Macaca mulatta: one gene and its partners. The protein of the gene in region 1 interacts with the protein of each later gene in a biochemical or structural test. Links are inferred from orthologs where the notes say so. Each region holds a gene or a part of one and is shown in the gene's direction. Other genes may lie near its edges. The genes, in order: KHDRBS1, NCK1, RASA1, HCK, FGR, YES1 and PRMT1.

What was found.
Region 2: the proteins of KHDRBS1 (region 1) and NCK1 form a complex in vitro, tested with the Homo sapiens proteins (3 studies listed by BioGRID, with this or other methods). The link is inferred for Macaca mulatta from reciprocal best matches to the Homo sapiens genes KHDRBS1 and NCK1.
Region 3: the proteins of KHDRBS1 (region 1) and RASA1 form a complex in vitro, tested with the Homo sapiens proteins (2 studies listed by BioGRID). The link is inferred for Macaca mulatta from reciprocal best matches to the Homo sapiens genes KHDRBS1 and RASA1.
Region 4: the proteins of KHDRBS1 (region 1) and HCK interact in a biophysical measurement, tested with the Homo sapiens proteins (2 studies listed by BioGRID and IntAct, with this or other methods). The link is inferred for Macaca mulatta from reciprocal best matches to the Homo sapiens genes KHDRBS1 and HCK.
Region 5: of the proteins of KHDRBS1 (region 1) and FGR, one has a biochemical effect on the other in vitro, tested with the Homo sapiens proteins (2 studies listed by BioGRID, with this or other methods). The link is inferred for Macaca mulatta from reciprocal best matches to the Homo sapiens genes KHDRBS1 and FGR.
Region 6: of the proteins of KHDRBS1 (region 1) and YES1, one has a biochemical effect on the other in vitro, tested with the Homo sapiens proteins (2 studies listed by BioGRID, with this or other methods). The link is inferred for Macaca mulatta from reciprocal best matches to the Homo sapiens genes KHDRBS1 and YES1.
Region 7: of the proteins of KHDRBS1 (region 1) and PRMT1, one has a biochemical effect on the other in vitro, tested with the Homo sapiens proteins (2 studies listed by BioGRID). The link is inferred for Macaca mulatta from reciprocal best matches to the Homo sapiens genes KHDRBS1 and PRMT1.

The regions. Positions count from the first base shown.
Region 1 is NC_133406.1:208,851,414-208,854,913, reverse strand, and holds part of KHDRBS1 (KH domain-containing, RNA-binding, signal transduction-associated protein 1), read left to right. Parts: intron 1-1,867; coding exon 1,868-1,992; intron 1,993-3,094; coding exon 3,095-3,211; intron 3,212-3,500. UniProt on the Homo sapiens protein: Recruited and tyrosine phosphorylated by several receptor systems, for example the T-cell, leptin and insulin receptors. Once phosphorylated, functions as an adapter protein in signal transduction cascades by binding to SH2 and SH3 domain-containing proteins.
Region 2 is NC_133407.1:39,960,492-39,963,991, forward strand, and holds the end of NCK1 (SH2/SH3 adapter protein NCK1), read left to right. Parts: coding exon 1-388; intron 389-2,333; coding exon 2,334-2,528; 3' UTR 2,529-3,070; downstream 3,071-3,500. UniProt on the Homo sapiens protein: Adapter protein which associates with tyrosine-phosphorylated growth factor receptors, such as KDR and PDGFRB, or their cellular substrates. Maintains low levels of EIF2S1 phosphorylation by promoting its dephosphorylation by PP1.
Region 3 is NC_133411.1:93,748,356-93,751,855, forward strand, and holds part of RASA1 (ras GTPase-activating protein 1), read left to right. Parts: intron 1-748; coding exon 749-826; intron 827-2,789; coding exon 2,790-2,947; intron 2,948-3,439; coding exon 3,440-3,500. UniProt on the Homo sapiens protein: Inhibitory regulator of the Ras-cyclic AMP pathway. Stimulates the GTPase of normal but not oncogenic Ras p21; this stimulation may be further increased in the presence of NCK1.
Region 4 is NC_133415.1:84,875,144-84,879,187, forward strand, and holds the start of HCK (HCK proto-oncogene, Src family tyrosine kinase), read left to right. Parts: upstream 1-1,244; 5' UTR 1,245-1,427; coding exon 1,428-1,489; intron 1,490-4,044. UniProt on the Homo sapiens protein: Non-receptor tyrosine-protein kinase found in hematopoietic cells that transmits signals from cell surface receptors and plays an important role in the regulation of innate immune responses, including neutrophil, monocyte, macrophage and mast cell functions, phagocytosis, cell survival and proliferation, cell adhesion and migration.
Region 5 is NC_133406.1:213,326,471-213,329,970, forward strand, and holds part of FGR (tyrosine-protein kinase Fgr), read left to right. Parts: intron 1-3,092; coding exon 3,093-3,196; intron 3,197-3,383; coding exon 3,384-3,500. UniProt on the Homo sapiens protein: Non-receptor tyrosine-protein kinase that transmits signals from cell surface receptors devoid of kinase activity and contributes to the regulation of immune responses, including neutrophil, monocyte, macrophage and mast cell functions, cytoskeleton remodeling in response to extracellular stimuli, phagocytosis, cell adhesion and migration.
Region 6 is NC_133423.1:72,093,620-72,097,768, reverse strand, and holds the start of YES1 (tyrosine-protein kinase Yes), read left to right. Parts: upstream 1-1,349; 5' UTR 1,350-1,569; intron 1,570-4,149. UniProt on the Homo sapiens protein: Non-receptor protein tyrosine kinase that is involved in the regulation of cell growth and survival, apoptosis, cell-cell adhesion, cytoskeleton remodeling, and differentiation.
Region 7 is NC_133424.1:62,129,554-62,133,687, forward strand, and holds the start of PRMT1 (protein arginine N-methyltransferase 1), read left to right. Parts: upstream 1-1,334; 5' UTR 1,335-1,348; coding exon 1,349-1,384; intron 1,385-3,946; coding exon 3,947-4,000; exon of another isoform or gene 4,001-4,004; intron 4,005-4,134. UniProt on the Homo sapiens protein: Arginine methyltransferase that methylates (mono and asymmetric dimethylation) the guanidino nitrogens of arginyl residues present in proteins such as ESR1, histone H2, H3 and H4, FMR1, ILF3, HNRNPA1, HNRNPD, NFATC2IP, SUPT5H, TAF15, EWS, HABP4, SERBP1, RBM15, FOXO1, CHTOP, MAP3K5/ASK1, MICU1 and NPRL2.

The DNA.
Region 1 (3,500 bases):
TCTGATATTTAGAATGTTCCACTGATTTTAGGGAGTATATGTATTTTAACTATTCTCAGTGAATCATATAAGCTTTCAGTTGCTGCTCATTCCTTGGGCACTTTTCCCTCATCTCTGTTAGAACTCCTGTTATAGCACTTAACTATACTTCATTGCCACCCCTATAGTCTGGGAACTCCAGTATATAAACAGTGAAGACAGAGACCAGTCTGACTCGCTCTGTTGTATCTCCTGTGCTTTGCAAGACAGATGCCTGGCTCTTAGTAAGTCCTCCATAGTGATTAATGATTGTACCTATTATAGCTCTCCCTTCATCTGCCTCTCCATACCGTAGGAAGCACTCAAACACTTGCAGTCACTCAATGAATGAAGTTCCTTAATGGTAGGAAATCTTTTTTTTTTGTTTTTGTTTTGTTTTTTGTTTGTTTGAGACGGAGTCTTGCTCTGTCACCCAGGCTGGAGTGCTGTGGCCGGATCTCAGCTCACTGCAAGCTCCGCCTCCCGGGTTCCCGCCATTCTCCTGCCTCAGCCTCCCGAGTAGCTGGGACTACAGGCGCCCGCCACCTCGCCCGGCTAGTTTTTTGTATTTTTTAGTAGAGACGGGGTTTCACCGTGTTAGTCAGGATGGTCTCCATCTCCTGACCTTGTGATCCGCCCGTCTCAGCCTCCCAAAGTGCTGGGATTACAGGCTTGAGCCACCGCGCCCGGCCAGTAGGAAATCTTTTTGTATGCCAAGTTTCTATCTAATGAAACTGTCTTAACCTGTGAATTGAAAGTACTTTTGGGTGATGATGGATATGTCTGTGGCCATAATGGTGGTGATAGTTTCATGGGTGTATACTTATCTCCAAACTCATCATGAATTGTATACATTAATTATGTATGGGTTTTTACATATCAGTTATACTTCAATAAAATGTTTTTTTAGAAAGTACCTTGTGGCTGGGCCGGGCGCGGTGGCTCATGCCTGTAATCCCAGCACTTTGGGAGGCTGAGGCAGGTGGATCACCTGAGGTCGGGAGTTCAAGACCAGCCTGACCAACATGGAGAAACCCCGTCTCTACTAAAAATACAAAATTAGCTGGGCATGGTGGCACATGCCTGTAATCCCTGCTACTTGGAAGGCTGAGGCAGGAGAATCGCTTGAACCCAGGAGGCAGAGGTTACGGTGAGCCAAGATTGCACCATTGCACTCCAGCCTGGGCAACAGGAGTGAAACTCCGTCTCAAAAAAGTACCTGGTGCATTTTGTATCGTTTAGACATTGGCTGAATTTGGGCTAGATAATGGTGACAATATATTAAGTACTTTATGAAAAATTGCCTTTAATTAGGCATATCTACATATTTTATTAACTTCTCTTACGTCACACAACTAGTGAGTAGCAGAGTAAGAACAAGGTCTTTCAGACTCTTAAGGACTAGTATCTAGAGTACTAATGTCACTGTGGAACTTTAATGGAACTATCCATTGTATATTTAGATTATTGATTTTTGCTTTTTTCAAGGTAAGATTATATTTTGTCTTGATGCAGATTTTAATTTTTTGTTTGTTTCTTTATTCTCCTTTCCCCATCTCACCCAATTAATTTTGTTAAATCGATTTAAGAAACATTTAAATGTCTCTATTCTCACGTGAGGCTTCAGGTGAGGTTAGAAGAGCACACTACTTTTATTAGAAGCAGGCTTTGGGCTTTCTAATCAACTTCATATAACTTTAGTACTTTCAGCTAGTTTATTTCTGAAATTGGCACATTCATGTGTACTATTTGGTCTCACTATATGGTACTTCATGTTATTGCTTTAAGCAGACTTCAAAATTTGCTTTTATTTACCAGAGCAAAAATTTAAATTGTTTTTCCTGTTCAGAAATTGAGAAGATTCAGAAAGGAGACTCAAAAAAGGACGATGAAGAGAATTACTTGGATTTATTTTCTCATAAGAACATGAAACTGAAAGAGCGAGTGCTGATACCTGTCAAGCAGTATCCCAAGGTAAGGCAAAAAGTGCCTTGCATCTTTGAGTTATCTTTATAGTTACGAGAGAGTCATGGACTCCTGGGGATTGTGATGCTTTAGAAACTTAAGCCTGTGAAGCTTCTCTTTCATGCTTGCAGTACCTGTTTCTGGCAATTGAAATATCTAAGTTCTTAACTAAACATAGTTATAGCCAGGAAGGAAATGTAATAATCTTTTTATTATCAAAAAGTTTCTTTCTCTAATGACTGCTCAGGCTACAAGTTCAAAGAAAAAAAAAAAATAAAACCTGAAGAGTTGCTCTCTGTCAAAAGACTAACCTGAAATCTAAATAAAAGGAAATATAATACAAATCCTCAATTGGATGAAGTTAATTTTATTTTCTTACTAAAAGTTTACTTTTAAGTAAATGCTTTTTTTCTTCCTTTTTTTTTTTTTCTTTTTTTAGGAAAGCAATTAGTTACATTTAGTTTATCCAGCGTGCTATCAAAGGGTGCTATATAGTCTCTTCTGCTCTGAGGTCACTGCGTTAACAATGTTTATGTATGTTAAGGCATGCATAAACAGGCACAGTGGCTCATGCCTGTAATGCCAGCACTTTGGGAGGCCAATGCAGGCAGATTACTTGAGCCCAGGAATTCAAGACCAGCCTAAGCAACATAGCAAAACCGTATCTCTACAAAAAATACAAAAATTAGCCTGATATGGTGATGTGCACCTATAGTCCCGGCTACTCCAGAGGCTGAGGCGGGAGGATCACTTGAGCCCAGGAAGTCGAGGCTGCGGTGAGCCATGATCATGTCACTACACTTTGGCCTGGGCAACAAAGTGAGAGCCTGTCTCAAAATAAAGTAAAAAATAAAATAGTAAAGGTCTTAGTGTATTATGGAAGATGGCCAGAATACATCAGAAAAGCCAAATTCAGGTCTAGGAACTGCCACTTTCTAGTTTCATAATCTTAAACTAATCACTTTATTAATATGGCTTCAGCGTCCTTCAGTAAAACGGGAATGGTAATACTCTACCTTTGCAGGGTTGTTTAAAATCAAATGAGGTAATTTATGTGGAGATGTTTTTATATAGTAGCATGTATATTTAGAAATCCTTTATTTTCTGTCAGTTCAATTTTGTGGGGAAGATTCTTGGACCACAAGGGAATACAATCAAAAGACTGCAGGAAGAGACTGGTGCAAAGATCTCTGTGTTGGGAAAGGGCTCAATGAGAGACAAAGCCAAGGTAAGCTCACATTAGTGAGGCAAGAGGACATCCTAATGCCTTCTACTTGCCCAGAATGCAGTATAGATGCCTTATAGAGGCAAGAATATTGTGTATGTACAGAATGTGGCTCCTTTAAGTGTGCATTGGGTGCAAGAGATTATACACCAAGTTAATTTACTTGCTTGGCAACCCTGGAAGAGCCTAGGTGTGCCCTGGTGATAGTTTTCTTTTGGACTTTTGACTGCATAGTAATGGACAGAGCAGTAGCATCTTGTGCATTGGTAGGATTGTCTGGGAAAACTTGAAA
Region 2 (3,500 bases), on another chromosome or scaffold:
TAACCTAAATACCGGGCAAGTGTTGCATGTGGTACAGGCTCTTTACCCATTCAGCTCATCTAACGATGAAGAACTTAATTTCGAGAAAGGAGATGTAATGGATGTTATTGAAAAACCTGAAAATGACCCAGAATGGTGGAAATGCAGGAAGATCAATGGTATGGTTGGTCTAGTACCAAAAAACTATGTTACCGTTATGCAGAATAATCCATTAACCTCAGGTTTGGAGCCATCACCTCCACAGTGTGATTACATTAGGCCTTCACTCACGGGAAAGTTTGCTGGCAATCCTTGGTATTATGGCAAAGTCACCAGGCATCAAGCAGAAATGGCATTAAACGAAAGAGGACACGAAGGGGATTTCCTCATTCGAGATAGTGAATCTTCGGTAAGTTGATTTTCAGATGTAAATACAAATAGAGCTCTATGTATTAAAAAGAAAAAGAGAAATGGAGAGGTTAAGTGGCTTCCCTAAAGTTAACCAGGTAACAAGCTGGGACATAACATAAGCATAAATGTTCCAAAGCTAAAGTCAGCATTCTTTCTAGCTATCTATTTTCAATGAAAAGAGAGTTGTGGCAGTGATGCTACATGCTGAGTTATTTGGTCTTTTCTAGTTCTGTTGATTTTGCATTCCTGATATATTTTCTGTTGCATTAAACTAAATGGAGAAAATGGAACATTGACTTCTTCATTGAATGTAGAATAATACTGTAGATTAAATTGGGAAACATTTTAAAAATTGCTATTGGATACAATGTGTAAGAAGATAGTCACTGTAGTCCTTATGACATAGGAAATCCCTGAATTTAAAAAATTGATACTAAGTTTCTTCATAAATTGGTTACCTGGAAATTGGAATACACTTTTTATTGTAATCTCAAAAAACCTATTTTAACACTGTGTTTGAAATGCATTTGCAATAAAAGGTAAATTATATTGCAATACTAGTAAACAATAAAACTATAAAACCATAAAAGTTGAAAAATAGTATGGTTTCATGGTCTCTTAGATACTGTTTAGGATATTAGAATTTGATGACACTCATTTTCCTTAAAAATGCCCTTTTCCTTGATAAAAGATATCATTACTTTTCCATTTATTAAATCATGATTAATCTTGGCTTTGCGTGAGTATATTTGTACAAAAGGGAATGTGTAATTGCACAAAATTTTGAAAGAAAATGTGTGGAAGTGGGGTGTGGTGGGGAGAGAGATTAATTGAACTTCTAATATGAAGTTCAGGAAAATGGGGCCTGTGCCTAATCCCTCAGAAAAGCAGTTGGTTGGCAGTAGGGAAGAGTGATGACATCCATTTTCTGTTAGTTGCCTGATCTGGCTCACTGTTTGAAACTTTGGGAGTAACTGTAGAAAAAGAGGCTTTTGGGGGTTGATATAGACTGTAACAACAACAACAACAACAAAAAACCTAATTAAAAAGAAAATAGCTTGAATGCAGAATTGTGTGTATTTTCTTGTGGGTAATTGAGCATAAATATAAGACAAAATACAATATATACCATTATTTTTAGCAGTATACTTTTTAAGGTTAGGTCTCAAGTAGGCATATTTTGTTTAGCCTTCACAGTGTTTTTTAAACGTTTAAATTCATTGCCCATATTTAAATATTAGGATATTTATTGTAAAAATTCAGACTTTGGACCATTTAAAATTGAAAGAACTACCAACATTGAGACCCTATTCCTGCGGGGCAACAATCACAGCTGAGAAGTCACCACTTCTTTAGATTGGTGATACACTGTCATTTTCTCTGCCCATCTACCCTTCCACTCTGACACTTGTTTACGTTATTCTTTTGGCTCTTGTAGGCATTTGAGTTTGTGGCCTTTCCTTAAAGTTTAGATTAATTCTCATTTGTGTGTTCTTCATTTTTGGGAATTCAGCGTGTTATCCCTAAGACAGCTACTGTTAGCTACACATTGAAAAGGGGTTGGGTGGGTATCTTAGACTTTCTCATGTGTTTCTCTGACTGGAGAGAAGATAGCTCTTGTTCTTCAAATATGTAAGGGATTTGCTGTGGGTGTCTACTGGTGGAGCTGTGGGTGTTAAGAGACTTTTGATTACACAGGTTTGAATCCTGGCTCTGTTGTTAACTAGATGGATGATACTGGCCAATTTATTAATAGCTTCCCTGAGACTCAGTTTTCACATCTGTAAAAAGGGTTTTGTTTTAGGGAGTAAAGGAGATAAATCTATGTAAATAATTTACCATGGTACCTAGGACTTAGTGCTTAAATTTTAGCTTTTAGTTTAATATAAAAATACTGATAGAGGGCTTTCAAAATGTTTACTGTATTTTTTTTTCTCTTTTAGCCAAATGATTTCTCAGTATCACTAAAAGCACAAGGGAAAAACAAGCATTTTAAAGTCCAACTAAAAGAGACTGTCTACTGCATTGGGCAGCGTAAATTCAGCACCATGGAAGAACTTGTAGAACATTACAAAAAGGCACCAATTTTTACAAGTGAACAAGGAGAAAAATTATATCTTGTCAAGCATTTATCATGATACTGCTGACCAGAAGTGACTGCTGCATAGCTGTAATTTGTCATGTAATTGAAGACTGAGAAAATGTTGGGTCCATCGTGCTTGATTGGAAATGGCTGTTTCTAAACCTTTATGAGAATTGACAATAAGTATTTTTATTATAATTCAGCCCATACATATATACTATGTATGCAGTGCATCTGCATAGAACAGTTCCTTATCCTTGGCCTTCTGTTTTATTGTTTTTTTTCTTTGCTGTTTTCCCTTTGCTTCTAATATTACAGTTTTGTATTTTGAAAAAAAAAATCAAATAATGCTTATCAGAATCTTTATATGGAAGAAATCCTTTATTGCCTATCCTTTGTTTCCTTGTAAAGGCGCCCTGTTCTGTTATGGTTTTTCATTATATAAAATTATTATATCTATATATGACATATGCTAAAATAAATTTCTTGGAGAGTGTTAATCTTTTCTGTGACTAAATAGCAATAATAAATGAAAAATTAGAAATTATTTCCAGGTATTATATTTGTCACAGGCCATTGTAAATACCAAGTATATTGTGTCTGCCTTAATTTTAAAAAATGCATTCATTGTCTTCAGTCGTACAGAAAGACACATGAGACATAGATTAGAAAACATGTTGTACAATTTTAATTTACAACTGTTGGAAACAAAAATCACTTTCTTAATTTTTTTTCCAGTGCTTCTCCCTTATCTGGTTATTCAAGAAAGCCAAATTGTCTCTGAGATATTTAGCTTTTCAAACTATAAATAGATGCTCTAGTGTTATTTATTTTTTTTAATCCCACTTATTTTACCAGGGCATCTTGTATTAGGATATGTTATATTTATGCCAGTGGGAAACAAGTTATGGCCAAGTTTTGCAAAAATAGGAAGCAGTGAGATACTTGGTTTTTTCTCCTCACTAAATATCAGTAATTATCAGGAATGGTATTACCTATTTTCATTTCCTCTTTTCAGCTTTAAATT
Region 3 (3,500 bases), on another chromosome or scaffold:
CACTGAAATAGCCAACAAACTAAAGACATAATTGAATAAAGCAATAGAACACAGCTTTCCAGAAACATGTAAAAACCAAAGTGAATATTTAGATTTATTTTTAATAAACCTTAGTTCTCTTCTTTCCCCCAAAGCACTAAACATTTAAAAAATATGGCTGCAATTTGATTTGAATATTAGGCTAAAATGATTTTTAAAATCTAATGTTATATTTAAAAGCTTAAAAATAACCCAAATCCCCTTATACATTTCTGCCTGTATCATGGCCTAAAGTATAGATTAGCATGCTTGTCATGGGATCAGTCATAATGTTAATCAGTTGGTTTTAGAATCAGCCCTCTCCCCTTTTCAAAAAATGTATCAAGTTAAATTCCACCTAAGCTTGCCTCAAATGTAACAGCTTAATTATACTTGACAGTTAACTTCCCCAAGGTAGTATGTTTGGGAGAAACAGTTTCATGTAAATTTGATTTTTTGGCTAATTAATGGCCACTCGATGTGTTTAATACATAAATTCAAACAAAGATTTATACAGAATTACAACTGTTTTGGTTGTTTTATTGTTATTACTTTATTATTTTATTATTGGTTATTGTTATAAAGTGCAATATAGTCCGAGAAACGAAAGGGCAGTCTAAAGAAGGAAGGAATTGTTGAATTTGGAAAAAAAAAAAAAAAAACCTAACTGATGATTTGGAAACCAAATAAACTAGTGTATATTTCTTTGAAATGCTTTTTTTCTTTGTAGGATTGGATGAAAGGTCTGCAGGCATTTTGCAATTTACGGAAAAGTAGTCCAGGGACATCCAATAAACGCCTTCGTCAGGTGAAGCTTAATTTTCTTTGATTTTTAATTGTCACATTTTGCTCTAACGCTTCGCTCTTTTTATTTTTATCTGAACTGTTTTGGACATCATATCTTAGGAGGGGTTAAGCCATGCTGCCACTTGCTTTAGTAGCAGGAAAATGTTACTTCTTTATGAAAGAGAATGTTCTTTCTTAGTCCAAAATGCCAACTGTTAAAAACATAAGAAAGATTATTCTTCCACTTTAAATAACAATACTAAACCAACACAGCAGAAACTGTTCTGTTGGGCACTTAATTTTCCTTTAAAAAATTATTTTGGCCTTTTTCAAAAAAGTAGAACATTGAAAAGATCATCAGATTTATAGCACAAATCTCAATAAACTTTTTTGGGATTTTCATTTTGAAGAACAGCTTTTAAAACCTACTGCTTAACTCTTAGGAAATATTTAATCTTATTTGAAACTGTAACATGCCCTATACTTCGAGTTGTGGAGAGTTAAGCTAGGCTTTCTCTTTTTTGCCTTTACAAGGGTAACTTTATAACCTCCATTTCTTGGCTTTTTTTCTTTATAGTAATCCCTATATAATTGGAAGAAGTTAGGCAAATTTTGACATTCTCGAGGTTTTAAAGAAAGTTGAGTACAATATTTACTGACCAAAGTGTCTCCTGTTCTCTTCATGTGAATATCTGATAAGCTGAGTGATTAACATACTGTTCTACTGGGAGTGGATAATGGTTGACATTTAGGTGACTAAATAGTCCCTGTAACCCAAAGTCAGGCTCTTCGCCAGGGACATTTAAGTAGACACACAATCGCCATGTCTTCATAACATTGTAACATTTTGTAAGCTATCAAAAATCAGATTGGATTTTTGCAAATAAGAGCAAGTTGTATTTTGTATGAAACTTGAGCCATTAAACTGACATTTGCAGGTTTAACATAATCATAGCTAACATCTCAAACACTTTTTATGTATCAGTGGGCAGTGAGATTTAGTGACTTACATATACAGTTGGCCCTTTCTATTCATGGGTTCTGCATCACTGTAATCTACCAACCATGGGTCAAAACTATTCAGAAAAAAATACAATAAAAAGATACAGTATAACAACTATGTACATAGCATTCACATTGTATTAGGTATTACAAGTAATCTAGAGATGATTTACAGCATACAGGAGGGCATGCATAGATTTTATGCAGATACTACGTCATTTTCTATATGGAACTTGAGCATCTTGGGCTTAGTTATCTGCCAGGAGAGAGAGGTGGAGGGTCTTGAAATCAGTCCCCCACAGATAACTGAGGGATAACTAGTTTGTAATCCTTATTACAACCTGTAGTGTAGACTTTATACTTACATATTAGAAAGATGAGGCTTAGAGGGACAGATTTGTCCAAGGCCACACAAGTAGTATATGGCAAGAGAGAAAGAGGACCTGATACTAGAAGGTAGATGATCTAAGTTTTGGCATCCAAACTGACAGATAGCTTAGTTTCTTTAGGTTTGTATCCTTTCCTGTAAAATAAGAAGGTAAGGTCAGTGTTTTAAAAGTGTTTAGCTGTGGAATTCTTCTATAGAAATAGAATCTTCCAGATAAATATTATATAACATACGGGATTTCGATGAGTAGTGACAGTTGTTTACTTACATTAGTAAAGAATTTTCTTAACTTCATTTTCTCTTTATCATTGTTTTATGGTAGAAAAGATGTATTTCATTATTTCTCCAAGTATATAGTGGGAGAAATAACTTGTAAAATAAAATTGCATTGTTTTATCTTTTTAGGTGGGAAGAATTATTTTAAATGTTTGAATATTTTAAGTATGTCATATATAAAGGAAAAATATAACCAAAGCTCATATTTTCTGAAAAAAGGGGAAAATAAATCATTATTTTTGGCTTTGTATCTTAGAGTAATTGCTTTTGAAATGTGCAATTATAGAAATCTGGGGTAATTTTTTTTTTTTTTTTTTAGGTCAGCAGCCTTGTTTTACATATTGAAGAAGCCCATAAACTCCCAGTAAAACATTTTACTAATCCATATTGTAACATCTACTTGAATAGTGTCCAAGTAGCAAAAACTCATGCAAGGGAAGGGCAAAACCCAGTGTGGTCAGAAGAGTTTGTCTTTGAGTAAGTCTTATTTTATCATTACATTAATCATTTTCTTTTACCATATTGCATTTCTTTCTATTTTTTTTGGTCTCTAAACCATCAGAACAAGGTACCATATTCAGGTGTATATATTTTTTTTTTTCTGTTGTATTTGTTTACCTTTATTTGTGAAGTGCTATGCCCTTGGTTTTTCCACTTAGTTATTAACATGAATTATTAGCAAGTCAAAAAACTTTACTAATCCACACATACAAAATGTTTACTAGGGTTTCCAGTACTTATTTGAATGAATTATTAGTTTAGGAGGTTAAAGATGGTAGGAAAAGTGTGTAATTTGCATGTCTTCTGTATACCAAATAATAAAATACGTTGTCAATCTGGTTTTAGGTCTAGCACACTCTTTTTTTTTTTTTTGGCAGAAATGGGGGTTTATTTGATACTAGAACTAAAGAAATAAGGTAGTTTGATGCCAAATCATTTTGTTAATTCTTTTTCTCCTTGCTCCTTTAGTGATCTTCCTCCTGACATCAATAGATTTGAAATAACTCTCAGTAATAAAACAAAGAAAAGC
Region 4 (4,044 bases), on another chromosome or scaffold:
TGAATGAATGAAGAAATGAGTGAAGAAATGACGGTAGCCCCGATCAGCTGGTAGAACGGGAACAGAGAGACACAGTATGATTCTTGTACATTTTGGAGATTTTGGAGGTGTGTTACACAGAATTTAGGGTGATAGCCCCTGTGTTTTCAGGAGAGGGTGTGTTCTGCCCTTGCCTGGAGCTGGGCACAATCCCATCCACTGGGGGGGGGGGTCACCCTCCAGCCTGACTCCTCACCTCTCCAGACCACCTCCCCCAGTCTGGGAGTCCTCTGAGCTGCCCGGAAGCCAGGGTGGTTCCTTCGGGCGGGGAACTTTGCATGGCCAGGGTAGTTCCTTTGGTCAGGGAACTTTGCATGGCCACGGTGGTTCCTTCGAGAGAGGAACTTTGCGTGGCGTCTGAATGGAGCAGGCCTGCGGAAGGGAAACCGCTGACCACAGACGGGCCTGGAAGTCTCGGGCCGCGGCGCTGTGGGGGCCGGGCCAGAAGGGAGGGGTCGGAGTGGTGGGGGAAAGGGATCACGATGCTTCCGGGGTAGGGTAAGGCCTTTCCAGGGTGGGGTTGGAATCTTTGAAGACTGTAGCAGGAATCCTTTAATAGGTGGGGTTAGGATCTCTGAAGGGCAGGGTTGGAGTCTTTGGACCGGCGGGATAGACCCCTGGGGATTAAAACTCTTAGGCGGCGGCAGGTTGGGATCGCGCAGGAGCAAGAGCGGTATTGGAACCCTGGGGTTAGTGTTCTAAATCTTTAAGGCAGGGTTAGAATCCACTGAAGTGAGAGTTCGGATCTTTCCATTGGGCAGATTAGAATCTTTGGGGGCAAGTTTAGTTTAAAAATCCTTTGGCGGGGCGGAGTTAGGATCTTGGGAGCATGGGAGCGGGTGCTGGGGTTCTTAGACGGGAGGGTTCGAATCCCCAGGGGTGGCATTTGGGATCCTTCGGAGACTGCGGTAGGACGCTGGGCGGTGGGATGGGGAGGTGTTAGGGAGAGTAGAGCGGAAGGAATGGAGGTTAACATCCTTGGTGGACGTGTTAGAAGCCTCCGATGGATGATGCTAATTTTTTTTGTTTTTTCTCTTGGTGGCGGGTTTGGGATCCTGCTTGCAGGAGACGGAGGTTATGACCCTTGGGGAGCAGGTTAGGAACCTGGGGTGGCTTCTGAGTCTTCGGGGCGGCGTTAGGACACTTGGGGCGGAGTTAGCATCGCTCAGGGCGCGGCTAAAGCGCCCAGATGGCCTGCGGGCACCACCGCGTCCCTGGTCCCAGTCCGGGAGCACGTCGGAGGCTTAGAGGCGAGTGGGAAGGGACCCAGACAGTGCAGGGCGAGACACGCCCGCGGCACCAAAGCCCCTGCGAGCGCTGCCCCCGCCTCTAGTTCTAGAAAGTCAGTTTCCCAGCACTGGCACCCCGGAACCTCGGGGGCTGCCGAGCTGGGGGGGCGCTCGAGCTGCGAGGATCCGGGCTGCCCGCGAGACCAGGAGCGGGCGCCCAGGTGAGTGCCGCGCACAGGGGACCGGGAATATCCGGCCCGCGAGGGGTCCCAGGCGGCGGAGGGAGTCTAGGGGAGTGGGGAGGGCTGGTTACGGGTGCTGCTGAGGGCAGCGAGGAGAGACGGGAACGTCGGGGGAGCCGCGGGTAGCCTGTGATGAGGGGTCGACAGCCAGGGGAGGGTGCCCAGGAGAGGGGCGGCACTGCTGCGGACTGCTGGATGCCAGGGGGAGGGGAGGGGAGGCCCGTGCAGTGACTTTATCCACCGCTTCTCTGGGCTGTCCAGGTTCCCCTTCTGCGGCGGGGTGGGGGGGATTTTTTTTAATTAAAAAAAAAAAAGAAGAAGAAGGAAGGGATGGGGCTTCACAGAGCCTGGGGGGGAAGGCCCTTACGGTTCCCGGTGGGGGCCGGGTCACGCCGGGTTGGCAGCCGGCTTGGGGAAGGGGGCAGTTGGGCGGAGGCCTGACGTGTGAGCCACACCCAGGCCGGCTGCAGCTGGTCGGCTCTCTGCCCCTCCTCCCACAGTAGGTCTAGGTCAAACCCCTAAACCTCCTGGCCCAAGACTGCCATGCCCTGACACTTTCCTCCTTGTTGGACGAATTCTCCCTCTCAGGATTCGTTTCCTCATCTGTAAGCCGGAGCTATGAAGTCTTTCTTGCAAGGATGCAGGAAATTGTGAGAGGTGGTGCCTGTGAGAGACAGTTAGGCTAGTGGGTAGGGGAGGGGGCTTCTAGAGGCAAACTGCCTGTTGGGCCTGGGGTAGAGGATTTGGCCTTTCTTTGCTTCTGTTTTCACAACTGTAGGATGGGGAGAGTAATAGTACCTCCTTCACAGGGTTGTTTAGAGGATTAATTGGATACTGAAGGAGCCGGGTAGGGTGACTCACTCCTGTAATCTCAGCTTTTTGGGAGGCTGAGGCAGGTGGATCTCTTGAGGTCAAGAGTTTGAGACCAGCCTGGCTAACATGGTGAAACCTCGTCTGTACTAAAAGTACAAAACTTAGCCAGGCGTGGTGGCACATGCCTGTAATTCCAGCTACTCTGGAGGCTGAGGCACGAGAATCACTTGAACCTGGGAGGTGGAGGTTGCTGTGAGCTGAGATCGCGCGGCTGCACTCCAGCCTGGGCGACAGAGAAAGACTCTGTCTCAAAAAAAGAAAAAGAAAAAAAGAAAGAGAGAGAGAGAGAGAGAGAGAGAGAGAGAGAAAGAAAGAAAGAAAGAAAGAAAGAAAGAAAGAAAGAAAGAAAGAAAGAAAGAAAGAAAGAAAGAAAAGGCAAGGTACTGAAGGAAAGCTCTGAGAGTACTGTCTGACAGTACACAGGTTTAATGTATCTTAACATTGCCCTAGCTAGACACATGGCCCCGCGTTCTCAGACTTCAGCCTACATCAGCATCACCTGGACTGCTTGTGAAAACACAGATTGCTGGGCCGAATACTAGAGTTTCTGATTCAGTAACTCTGTGCAGGACACTAAGAACTTCCATCCCTGGTGATGCTGCTGCTGCTGATCCAAGGATGGCACTTTGAAAACCACTGGGGTAGCCTATGCCTGGCACAGAAAAAGGCCTCAATACATATCAGTTGCCTTATCCCATGGTTTTTTCTTTATGGTCCTTTTTTTTTAGGGGAGGGGGTGACAGGTTGAAATACAGAAAAGTGGGCCGGGCGCGGTGGCTCACGCCTGTAATCCCAGCACTTTGGGAGGCCGAGGCGGGCGGATCACAAGGTCAGGAGATCGAGACCACGGTGAAACCCCGTCTCTACTAAAAATACAAAAAATTAGCCGGGCGCGGTGGCGGGCGCCTGTAGTCCCAGCTACTCGGGAGGCTGAGGCAGGAGAATGGCGTGAACCCGGGAGGCAGAGCTTGCAGTGAGCCGAGATCGCGCCACTGCACTCCAGCCTGGGCGACAGAGCGAGACTCCGTCTCAAAAAAAAAAAAAAAAGAAATACAGAAAAGTGAAGAGAATAATATATTAAATATCCCAAGAATCCACCATCCAGAATTAACAGATGATAGCATTTTGTTGTGTTTGCTTCAGATTTTAAAAAATTAATTTACTAAAAGTAACAGAAAAATTTGAAGTCTCCCCACCTTGTGTCACTCTCAGTCCTGTTTCTATCCCTCCCCAGGGGGCAACCGCTGTCGTGATTACAGTCCTTCCAGGCTGTGCCTTTAAAAATGGATTGTGTATAAGTGTATGCATAAACAGCACATATTATTGTTTTGTGTGCTTTAAAAATGCTATCTATGCGGTGGCTCATGCCTGTAATCTCAGCTGCTCGGGAGGCTGAAGCAGGAGAATGGCTTGAACCCGGGGAAGCGGAGGTTGCAGTGAGCCGAGATCGCGCCATTGCACTCCAGCCCGGGCAGCAAATGCGAAACTTCATCTCAAAAAAAAAAAAAAAAAGCTATCTAACTGTGAGACTTTTCTGCAATTCTGAGAAAGGGGATAGCAGAGGAGCATATTTGCCCCTTCTTATCATTAAGTTGTCAAAATCTATCCAGGATGAGAAATAGAAAACAGAGGCCTCATTCATTCCTTCCAGCTGCTGTGGA
Region 5 (3,500 bases), about 4.5 Mb from region 1:
ACCATGCCTGGCCTTGATATTATTATTTTAGACAGAGTCTTGCTCTGTTGCCCAGGCTGGAGGGCAGTGGCTCAATCTTGGCTCACTGCAACTTTCACCTCCTGAGTTCAAGCAATTCTCCTGCCTCAGCCTTCCAAGTACCTGGGACTACAGGTGCACGCCACCACACCTGGCTAATTTTTGTTAATTTTAGTAGAGATGGGGTTTCACCATGTTGGCCAGGCTGGTCTCAAACTCCTGACCTCAAGTGATCTTCCTGCCTCAGACTCCCGAAGTGCTGCGATTACAGGTGTGAGCCACCATGTCCAGCCCCTTGTTATTATTATTGTCCCCATTTTACAGATGAGGAAACTGAGGCTCATAAAGCTTTTAAAAAGCTATCCTCACAAATGTCATACATATATGAGAAAAGAAGGGATTGAAGAGACTGCAAAGTGAGAATCCAGGACTCTGTGATTGATTTGGGTTATGGGGAGTGGGAGGAATCAAGGGTGACTCAAAGTCTCCTTAAGGAGCTGGGTGGATGATAGCACCATTTGCTAAGGCAGGGAACACAGGAGCAGGTATAGGTTCATGAGTTCTAGGGGGTACTTGTTGGATTGTGGTTTGTGGAGAGGAACATCCATGTGGAGGAGGCTGCCAGCAATTCGATTAGGTTGTGCTTTGTATGGCAGGCAACCAGCCCATGCTAATCCATGCCCCTGAATCAGCCCAAAGGAAGGGGCACCTTTTCCTAATTGGCACTAAGACTCCTCAGTTTGTTTGCTATGGTCCTTGCAGAAGTCACAGTGGGCTAGGGCAGAAATGTGGAACTCATGAAAGTAAAGATGATCATTAAAGCTAAATAGGAGGGGGCCAGGGGCAGTGATGCATGCATGCAATCCCATCACTTTGGGAGGCTGAGGTGGGTGGATCACCTGAGGTTAGGAGTTCAAGACCAGCCTGGCCAACGTGGTGAAACCTTATTTCTACTAAAAATACAAAAATTAGCTGGGTGTAGTGGCAGGCAACTGTAGTCCCAGCTACTCAGAAGGCTGAGGCAAGAGAATCACTTGAACCTGGGAGGTGGAGGTTGCAGTGAGCCGAGATGGAGCCACTGCACTCCATCCTGGGTAACACAGCGAGATTCAGTCTCAAAAAAAATTAATTAATTAAAATTTTTTTAAAAAGCTATATAGAGGGTTAAGGAAGAGAGCAGAGAGTGAAAAAGATTGGCTCTGGGACCCCACTTTGGGGAAACCTGCCCTCGAAGGAGAAGGAGCCACTGGAGAAGTGAGGAAATCCAGACCAGGCCAAGTCAGAAGAACCAAGAGAGCGCAGAAGCTTCAGGAAACTAGAGAGGGCGTGTCAGAGGCTGCCACTGGATTTGGCAGTGGGGGTGACCTTGGTGAGAGATTTCTCTGTGCGAGGGTGGGAGGCGGAGGCCAGACAGCAGAACCTGGGAGGCAGTGGGAGGTGAGGAATTGGAGACCCAAGTGCGAAGCACTTTTTCAAGTAAAGGGAAGGCGAGAAGATACAGCAGAATGTTGATGGCAAGATGGAACTTAGAATAGTTTCCTTTGGGGAAGGGAGAAATGTGGGCATGTTTGGAGGTTGTTGGAATGGAGAGGCTGCATGCAGGTGGAGGCTGCTGGCAGGAAGTGGGTATGACTGAGCAGGAGCGGGTGGGCATCGCTGAACAGGAGTGGGCGGGCGAGGTTCAGAGGTCAAGTGCAGTGAGGCCCAAGTCTGGGGAAGTGGTAGGAGGCATGAAGGAGAGGAGGGACAATGATGCAGAGGACAGGAGGTTTGTGGGGAGCTTCATGCTTGTGTCCACATCTTGGAGCCAGTGTCACCAAGCGCTGAGAGGTGCTCAGTGCAGTGTTGTGGTTACGGGTAGTGTGGTTAGGAGCACAGGCCCTAAAGCAGACAGCCTGGGTTCCTGTTCTATCAACTGCAGTCCTGACTGTCTAATGGGGGTAAACAATGGTAGCTATCTCACAACGTTGTTAGGAGAATTAAGTAAATACATACATGTATTAAGGCAGACCCTAGCATGAAATACGTGCTGTTATTATTATACTGATTATTAAGGAAGTAGCTAATGTCATGCTTGTGGGAGGGGGGAGGGCTTTGAAAAAACTTGACAATGTGTCCTGTCTATACAGTCCTTCAACACTTCCTCCGTCCCCCTCCCGCCTGCCCTCTTGGACACACCACTTGCCAGTGCTTTCTCCTGTTTCCTGAACTGTGCCTAGTACCCAGGGGCGGACTGACTTACCCAGGGGCGGACTGACTTTCCCAGGGTCCACTAAGACTTCCATCACCCTTGGTTTGAAAACACGAGGCTCCTTTAATTCAACCCAAGATGGCCACAGGCCAGTTGCATGATCATCTGAGTCTTCTATGGCACCTGTGGTCATGTCAGCTCCCCCATTGTACCTGCACAGTTGGTTTAGGGCTACAGTTCAATCCCGGGAAGAATCACCCAGGGAGAGGAGTGATTGAGGCCTGAGGTTGAAGTTTAGACTTAGGACAACATCCAAGTCTAAGAGAGTGCAAGAAGAGCAGGAGCTGGGGCGGGAGCAGCCAGAGAGAAGAGAAGCAGGAGACCATGTTGCTCTGGAGGCCAAAGGAGGAAAGGATTTGGAAGTGGGGGTGGGAGAAGGATCTGAGTGATCTGATTACTGGAGTGGTGAAAAAAGAACTAGGGTGAGGGGCAGAGGATTTTAGGTAGATCTCATTAGCCAGCCTGTGGACAGGTCACTTTCCCTCTCTGAGCCTCAACTTCCTCATCTGTAAAATGAGTGCACAGAGGGGCTAGAGTGAGATGAACTGAGGGTCCATGGCACCCTGATGACTGGGATTGAAGCAATTTTAATTCAAGAGAAACCTAATGAGAAGAGATGCTAACCTTTGCTGGGCACCTACTGTGTGCCAGGCATTTTACATTCCCCTTCTCTGTGATCCTCCCAGCCAGGCTGTGAAGCAGGTGTACCAGCCCCATTGTACACATGGGGAAAATGGAGTATTGACTTGTGAAGTGACTGCGCAGGAGGCTGAGGTGAGGATTGAGCAGAGCACACCTGACTCTTGCCTGCCTTTCCCAACAGGTGGTACTTTGGAAAGATTGGGAGAAAGGATGCAGAGAGGCAGCTGCTCTCACCAGGCAACCCCCAGGGGGCCTTTCTCATTCGGGAAAGCGAGACCACCAAAGGTAGGGGTGGTGCCATGCGCCAAGGTGACTGGGAGGCCCAACCATTGGGGTAGGGCTAGGAGCGGTAGGGTGCTTGGGTCAAGGCCAAGACTGGGACCAGGTCCTAGGGATGCTGCTGTCGGGCCTCTCCCAGCTCCCAGACTAGGGGAGAGGAGAACAGCAGATCCAAAGTGATCCTTCTCCACAGGTGCCTACTCCCTGTCCATCCGGGACTGGGATCAGACCAGAGGCGATCATGTGAAGCATTACAAGATTCGCAAGCTGGACATGGGTGGCTACTACATCACCACGCGGGTTCAGTTCA
Region 6 (4,149 bases), on another chromosome or scaffold:
CAAAGACAAATGAAGTTTTAGTAGCTAAAGAAAATACAGCACCGTTCCACATTATGTGTATCTTTAATGCCTATGCCTACCTTTCGTTCATTTAGTGAGCTGAAAAAAAAAATGTTCAAACCCTTATGTGCATTTCCTTAAGTTCCTAGAACACCGAAATTCTGACACGTATGACTGTACTATTTCGTATCTGTCGATGATTCTGAATTTCACTAAAAACCGCAAAGGAAACCAATAGTCACACAACTATTCTGATAACCCCACCAAAGAGGAAATAAAGAAAGGAAGTTACTCCGAAAGTCTGACAAGGCAGAAGTGACTGCAGCAGAAGTGCCTCAAGGGTCAGTTCATGAGGACCTTGATTAACGCCCCCACCCCATCCTTCCGGGTCCTCCCCCTTCTTCAGCGACTGGGTACGAGGCTCATAGGAAAGGTGCGCGGCTTCAGACCGACACGATTCCAGCTTGGCTCCTCCACTTTCGGGGTCGCTGTTTCCACAGCTTTCGAGCAGGATAACCATACTTGTTGCACTTCCCTCACTGGGCTGCCGCCAGCAGCATATAGACATACGCTGTCCCAACATAAGCCAAAGCCACCATTACTGAGATAGTCGCCAAACATAACTCGGCTTCGGTTCCCCTCCCGGCAAGGCTGGTTCGACCTACAGTTAACAGGAAGCTCCTGGGGGCAGGGACAGGATCCCTGCCTCGGAAGGAGGCCAGACGTGAACGTTGTTTGGACGGCATCTGGATAGTGACGAGCGTGTGAGTAACGCCCCCGGCTCACGCGGTTGGGCTGAGATTTTACTACCAACGACAAAGGGTGCGGAAGCATAGTGCTGAGAAGCAGCCAGCCAAAAAAACTCAACCCCGTCCTCCCCCGCAAAAACAAGCCCCAAAGCCCTGGGAACTACGGAGAGCCGGGCCAAGGAAAAGAGAAAGGCAGAGGGGCGGAATCGGGGCGCCCCATTCAATCCCCGCGGCAGCCGAGCGTCGGTGGGTTCGCGGCTGGGAAGGGGCGCCGCGGGCCTGCTCTCCGGGCGGGGAAGCACCTCCTCCTCACGCCCCCTCAGCCTGCACCGCCCCCGGGAATCCGCCCCGGACCCCGCCGCCATGTTGGGTCGGGAGAAGTGACACGGACCGGTCGCATACCCAGACCACAGCAAAGCGGCCCAGAGCCCGCGGAGGGGACCTGGCGGGGGCGTAAGCGCCGGAAGGCTGGGGGCCCTGGAGCCTGGCCGGCGTGGCCCGAGTTCCGGTGAGCGGACGGCGGCGCGCGCAGGTAGCCGCAGCCCCCGCCCCGCGCCCGCCCCCGCCCCCGCTAGAAGTGAGGGGGCGGGGCCGGGGGAAGGAGGTGGAGAGTGAGGCCGAGGGGTGGGGAGCCAGGGAACTCCCTCGTCCTGAAGCAACGCGTCCCGGGCCGGCTCTGCAGTGGTTGCTGCAGCCGGGCGCCCCGGGACGAGGAGGTGGAGGAGGGAGAGGGCCCGCGGGCCTCGCCTCCGCCCTCCGTCCCCTCCCGCCACCTCGAGCTGCGGCAGCAGCGACTCATGAGAGCGCGGCCGGAGGACAGGTAAGGACCGGGTGGGGCCCCGCGGGCGGAGGGGTCCACCCCGGCACGGACAGGGCTAGGCCCCAGCGCCCGGAGCCGCCAGCACCGCCGCGGTTCCCCGCCCCCGCGGGCCAGAGTCGGGAAGTTGGGAAGAAACTTCTCCCCTCCCCCGGCTCGCCCCGCGGGCTCGTCTCGTTCCCCGCGCTACCTGCTCGCCCCTGACTTGGTCTCTGCCCCATTCAGTCCTGCCGGGTCCCGCCCAAGTCCGACCTGAGGTCCCAGGGGCGTGGGGACACTCTCCACCGCTTGTCTTTGGGGTCGTGTGGACAGCCCGGCGGCGTGGAGGCGAGGTTTATTTTTGCCCACACGGCCGAAGTGGGGGCGAGGGAAGCGGTCCCTTTTCGGTCCTAAAGGCTGGGGGTCTGTGTCTCGGCCGACGCCGGTAGCAGCTGTGCGGGGAGAGGAGAGGGTGTGTGGGGCGAGTGGGTGAGCCTCTCGGGCTTTACTCGGTTTGATTGAAAACCGCAACATGTTTAAAGTTTTCCTTTGTTTTGGATTGGGGGTTGGGAAATTTACCATTCAGCGTCCACTTTTTCATGCCACTCCGCCTCCCGTTGCGTTCGGTTCCCTGTCCACATGTGTTAAAGAAAATTTTGTCTTAAAGTGTGTTTTTCTTCTTGATAATTGCTTCCAGCTTTCACTTTATTGGGCATGGAGCAGAGTTGTTTTAAGAAGCTCTTTGAAAATCAAGTCTGGTGTAGGGACTTTAGTTTTTGTTTTGAGTAGGACTTAACAGTTCGGATTTGGTTGAATTATTTTCTGCATAATTAATTGATATAGGCGTGGAATAACATACGGTCTAATTTGTACATTATTAAAGGAAATAAAGTCTGGTGGAAGCACAATTTTATGTCCATACCATTTATTATGTATATATGTTCCACGGATGTGTGTTTTCACATAGTTGATTTCACGTGTATATAATATGATTATAGTATCTTCATGTATTATAATTGTAAGATTAGTGCCAAAGATGTCTTGATAATTTTAAATGTGTTTAAACCATCCTGTTAAATTTCTAAAGTTAAATAACTCACTAAGGAAAATATTACTAAATGTATACACATGACTGCATTTAAGGAAAAGTGCATGGTAAATCTAATAACTGTCACAGTGCTTGGCACACGGTGGACAGGAAGCATTTTGGTCAGGTAATAAAGGAGTATCTTGTATTAACCAAGGATCTTGTATGCATCACTTACGATTTTCATATATTGTACAGTAAGGAAGTTTTACTTTAGCAAATAATATATATGGTTTTGTTGTTTTTGTTTGCTTATAAATGTGAGACCCCTGCCACAATTGACATGTAAGAAAAGGAAGTTAAATTGTATTTTAATTTTTGGACATTAGCTAAAAGTCGGTGGAGATTTTAAATGCTGGTTAACATTTCAGAGGGTCCTACATTTGAAATAGACAGTTGCCTTTGATCTGAAAACAAAACAGTTTATATCCATGTTTCCAGGATAAAAGATAAAAGGGCTCTTAAAATACATACTCTGTTGTAACCACCGTAATGTTATAATAGCTTTAATTTCGCAGTTAGGTTTTGCTGACTTCATAAACCACAAAATTGATTCCTTTCTGTTCATCTGAAAGTGAAATTACAGCTTTGACCTGTCTTCCTGGGTTAGGTGGAATTTGTCTTATGGTCGAAGTATATAACATTAATACATGGGCGTTTTTTTGTGTGTGTTTTAGTTCAGGAAATTCACAAGCTGAAAAATTGTTTATGCAAGTAGAATTCCTTCGTGGTATGTATTGATAAAAGAATAAATGTGCTAAAAGACTAGAAGTAAACCTGTATAAGCGAAATATTATCAACCGATGGTGTAAGACTTACTCAAAGTTGAAATTTGCATCATGTTAGACAGTAAATAATTTATTCCTATGGGTAGTTTTTCTTTACAACATCAGTGTAGGCATCAGTTATTCTATTAGCATTATAGTAAGAAAGAAGACTAATGCCAAAAAAATTTAAGTGATGCTAAACTCTGGTGTCGCCCAAACTTGGGTAATTAAAAAAGAAAAAACCTGCAAGGAAATTTCTGTGAACGTAAAGATAGAAGCATAGAATACCTGTGGTTCTATGAAAGGAAATATATAGGAAGAGGGAGGAGATTGTGATAGGGACCTGGCTTCTGAAGTGGTGACAAAGTTGTTTTAACCTGATAGGAGTTACCAAGGGTATTGGTTTTAGTGTAATACATTAAGCCCTACGTCTGTATGCAGAATCTGTTTCTATGTTTTATTTTACATGAATTTTTTTTAAGGAATCCAGTGTATAATGTACTATATGAGGTGCTTGGTTTAAGAACATAATTTAGGCCGGGTGCGGTGGCTCAAGCCTGTAATCCCAGCACTTTGGGAGGCCGAGGCGGGCGGATCACGAGGTCAGGAGATCGAGACCATCCTGGCTAACCCAGTGAAACCCCGTCTCTACTAAAAAAATACAAAAAAAAAACTAGCCGGGCGAGGTGGCGGGCGCCTGTAGTCCCAGCTGCTCGGGAGGCTGAGGCAGGAGAATGGCGTGAACCCGGG
Region 7 (4,134 bases), on another chromosome or scaffold:
GGTCTCGATCTCCTGACCTCGTGATCCGCCCGTCTCGGCCTCCCAAAGTGCTGGGATTACGGGCTTGAGCCACCGCGCCCGGCCAATTTTTGTATTTTTAATAGAAATGGGCGTTTCACCATGTTGGCCAGACTGGTGTCGAACTCCTGACTTCAAGTGATCCGCCCGCCTCCGCCTCCCAAAGTGCTGGGATTACAGGCGTGAGCCACTGCGCCCGAATCCTATCGGAAATTTTTAAGTCTCAGGCGTTTGCCAGCGGCACGCCAGAGAGTATAGCCTGCACCGAGGCCCAGAAACCAAAGAGCGAGCTCATTCCGGGATTGGAGAGGAGTGTGAGCGGAGGGAAGCAGAGGGATCAGAGAGAGGAGGGGCAGGACCCACGCATTCGGCCCTTTGCATTCAGCCTCATTCAACTAGGAACTTTTCCTGCAAATCAAGCAAAGCTTCCCGGAGGAAGTGGTGCCTAAGCTGCGCTCTGATTCTCGTTTAGAAGCTGACAAGACAAAGAGAGGTGGGCGGTCCTGGCAGGGGGAGGGACTCGGCAAAAACCAAGTACCTTGAGAGGGGTTGATGGGTTTTAAAAACTTTGAATGATTATGTCAAAGGCTAGGGATTTAATGTGTTGACTGCGGACTCCTATTCCTCACTTGCTTGGGGACCCCAGCGATGCCATTCCTCTCTCTGGGCCTCTCACTGATTCAGTTTTTCTCCCAGGTAATGAGCACAAGCTCCCTTTTTCCTCGAGACTCCCCCCGGGTTGGGAGGATCCACCGAGTGGACTAGGCGTGATCGTTCCTTTGAGCCAATCGTTGGTGCCTGAAGCCCCGCCTTCTTCCCCACCCGTGGGCCAATTGTCGTGTTCTCCTTGAGACTGGCCGCTTGGCGAGGGTGAAAGGCCGCGTGACGTCACTTCCGGATAAACCAATGGCAGCGATTAAGAGGCGGGTCGTTTTGGTGATGGACAGTTGTTTCAAGACGCCCCTTTAGCGCGGGGCTCCCCGGGAAGCTTTGAGGCGGTGCTGGGGGTAAAGGGGCGGGCATTCCTCGTGGATTTTGCCCAATCACCAGTCGCGCTTCTTGCAATAGACGGGCAGTTTTCCCCATCTCGGGTCGACTTGAGGGGGCGGGATTCTGGACGCCAGTGTTGGCAAACCCCTGACCTATGATGGACGTATTCTCCAGCCAATTATCAGACGGTATTCTCAGACGGGCCGCCTCCATTGCCAATGAAATCTTCCAGCGGGGTCGCGGTAGGCGGGCCGTGGACCCTCTGGTATAAGGCGGTCCCGGGGGAGTGAGGAGAAAGGGGGGGTCTTGGCGGCTGGAGGAGGAGTAGTTGCGGGTGAAGATGGCGGCAGCCGAGGCCGCGAACTGCATCATGGAGGTGAGCGCTTGGAGCGCCGCCGTGGGCGGGGGTCGGCTTTGGGTCGATGTTTCACGCCTCTGTGGTGGGGAAAGGGCTCTAAGTTGGCGACATGGGGTTGGAGGTCCCCCGCCGCACACGGGGGCGCCGCACGCTCCACATCCGGGGATATCGTTTGAGGTGACGGCTCCCTAGCTTTCAAGGGCCTTCGGCATCCGGCCTAGCGGAGGGTCTTATCCCCCCTCCCACGTGGAGGAGGGCTGGGGGCGCTTCCGGCCAGGCCCCCACGTGGCCGCGGCGCGGTGGGTGGGGAGGGGGTGTGCCGAGTCCGGTGGCCCGGCGGGCTCCACGTGCGGGACAAAGGCCCCGCCCCCGGCCGGGGAGGGGCGCCCGGGGGGGCGGGGAGGGGGTCCGACCCTCCTGAGGCCCCCAGCCCTCCTACCCAGGGACCCGGGCACACGTCGTGGGGTGGGATCGACCTGGGGCCCTCCACGATGTAGAGTGTCTTTTGGGAGGAGCAGTGCCTTTTACAACCTCCTTCCGAGCTCCAGGGGCATCTATTGGGATATCGGCCCTGGATTTGTGCGTTCTGGATTAGGGACTGGAGGAAAACCAAGAATGGGGCCCCCCTGACCCCATTTCCCCTCCTAGAGTTCTCCCCCTCACCCAGGGCTTTAGGTGTTGGGGGATGGGGCATGCCCCTGTGACCTCCCTCTGGGTGGTGGTGGGGCATCTAGATGGAGATTTTCCCACTAATAGGCGCCGTGCACCCCCTTGTGGCCATTTCTGGGTGTGTGGGAGGGACATCTTTTTCATGGGGCGTGTCCTGAAGCCCACCTCCCGTCGGATTTCTTCCTGGAGGGCGGAGGGAGGAGGGTACGTCCGCTGGGAAGGAGTTGTGGGAAATACGTAGGCTGAGAGCTTTACCCTCTGCTGGAGCGCTTTCTCTCTCCTGGGCCTTTGTGAGGGCGGGAGATGACCTCCCCCTTCCTGAAGCCCTGTGTAGGGGTCCTGAGCCCCGGGGTCCTGAGGGTGGGTGCCTGAAATGGTTTCAAGTGAGGTTTGGTTCTCGTGCAGCCATGTGGGGGAGGTTTCAGTCTTGCGTTTTAAGCCTTCGGGCTGGGGTTGTCTGGCAGTAGTTTTCAGTGGTGGTGATAAATGGGCCCCAGCGGGAAACCCCCGCAGCACCTTTCTTATAGGCATCCCCGCTGGCTTGGGAGAGCTGGGGGGAGGGTGTTTGGAGCCTAGTAGGTCATGGCCAGTGACGTGGCCCTTCTTGGAGTGGTCACATCTGGAAGAGATGTAATCTGATGGGGCCTCTGTCCTTCCACCCCTTTACCCATGGCATTGACTGGGGGGGCAGGTCAGCTGTAAGCTGTCAGGATGCAGCTCCCAGGGGTCACTGTAATGACTTCGCACCCTCTTGGCTGTCTCCTGCACCTGGGGCTCTGTGGGCGGAGGAAATAACTTTCCCAGAGGTGGCCTCAGGCTTGGCCGCACCTGGAAGTCTTCAGGACCTGGGATGGGTGTCTGAAATGGGGGCGATGGGCTGACTCCCCAAGCTACTTTTTTTTTTTTTTTTTTTTTTTTTTTTTGAGACGGAGTCTTAATCTGTCACCAAGGCTGGAGTGCAATGGCTTGATCTCGGCTCATTGCAACCTCCGCTTCCTGGGTTCAAGCGATTCTCCTGCCTCAGCCTCTTGAATAGCTGGGATGACAGGCACCCGCCACCAGGCCCAGCTAATTTTTGTATTTTTAGTAGAGATGGGGATTCACCATGTTGGTCAGGCCGGTCTCAAACTCCTGACCTAAGGTGACCCACCCGCCTCTGCCTCCCAAACTGCTGGGATTACAGGTGTGAGCCACCGCGCCCCCAAGCCACTTTCTGGAGCCCGCTCATTCTTAAGAGGGTCCAGGAGCTGCCCATCCTCCATGGGACCCTACCTTCGTGGGCAGAGGGTCATAAGGGAGCGGGTTGGTTCCAGCTGGTTTTGTTTGGGGCTCCTGAGTCCAAGGCAGGAGCTGGGGGCTGGGGTACTAGCTCTGGGGAAGTGCCCGTGTGCCACACCTCTATTCTGGAATCCTCTCAGACATGAGACTGGTTTGCAGAGGTGGCAGATGCCCTGTGGGCATACCCTGCCAGCCTCGTTCCCTCCTGCTATTCATGGCACCCTGGGATAGGGGTGTGTGTGTCAGGAAGTGTCACCTAATCTGGGGGAGATTAGGTGATGAGAGGGAGCGACAGCTGGCGGGGGTGGGTGCCAGTTCCCCTGGCCTGGATGGGGGAGGTGTGTGGTCAGCTGCCTGGCCAGAGAGGGGCAACAAGGGGGCAGGCCACCATCTCTCCAGCCACAGCTGGGATAGGAGACCCCCTTTCTTCTCCCCTCACTTTTCCCATCCCTTTCTTAAACACCCCACCTCATTACTTGCCCTCTTTGCCACCACTCCCCGCCAAGAAGGAGAATTGCTGGAAACCCCACCCCCCCCACCCCCCCCCACCCCGCCAGAGCCCAGGTCCCCGCGCCCAGCCCTCCCGCAGCCACTCCCAGTAGCTAATCCTTTCTCCCTGTTACTCTCTCCTAGAATTTTGTAGCCACCTTGGCTAATGGGATGAGCCTCCAGCCGCCTCTTGAAGAAGTAAATATCCTTTTGTGAGACCCCTTCCCACCCCGACCTCCACATCAATATATTTTGCCACACATCTGGCCCTTTCTTGAGGTCTAACCATACCCCTCTTGCTTCAAACCAGTTTACTGCAGGACCCCAAACAC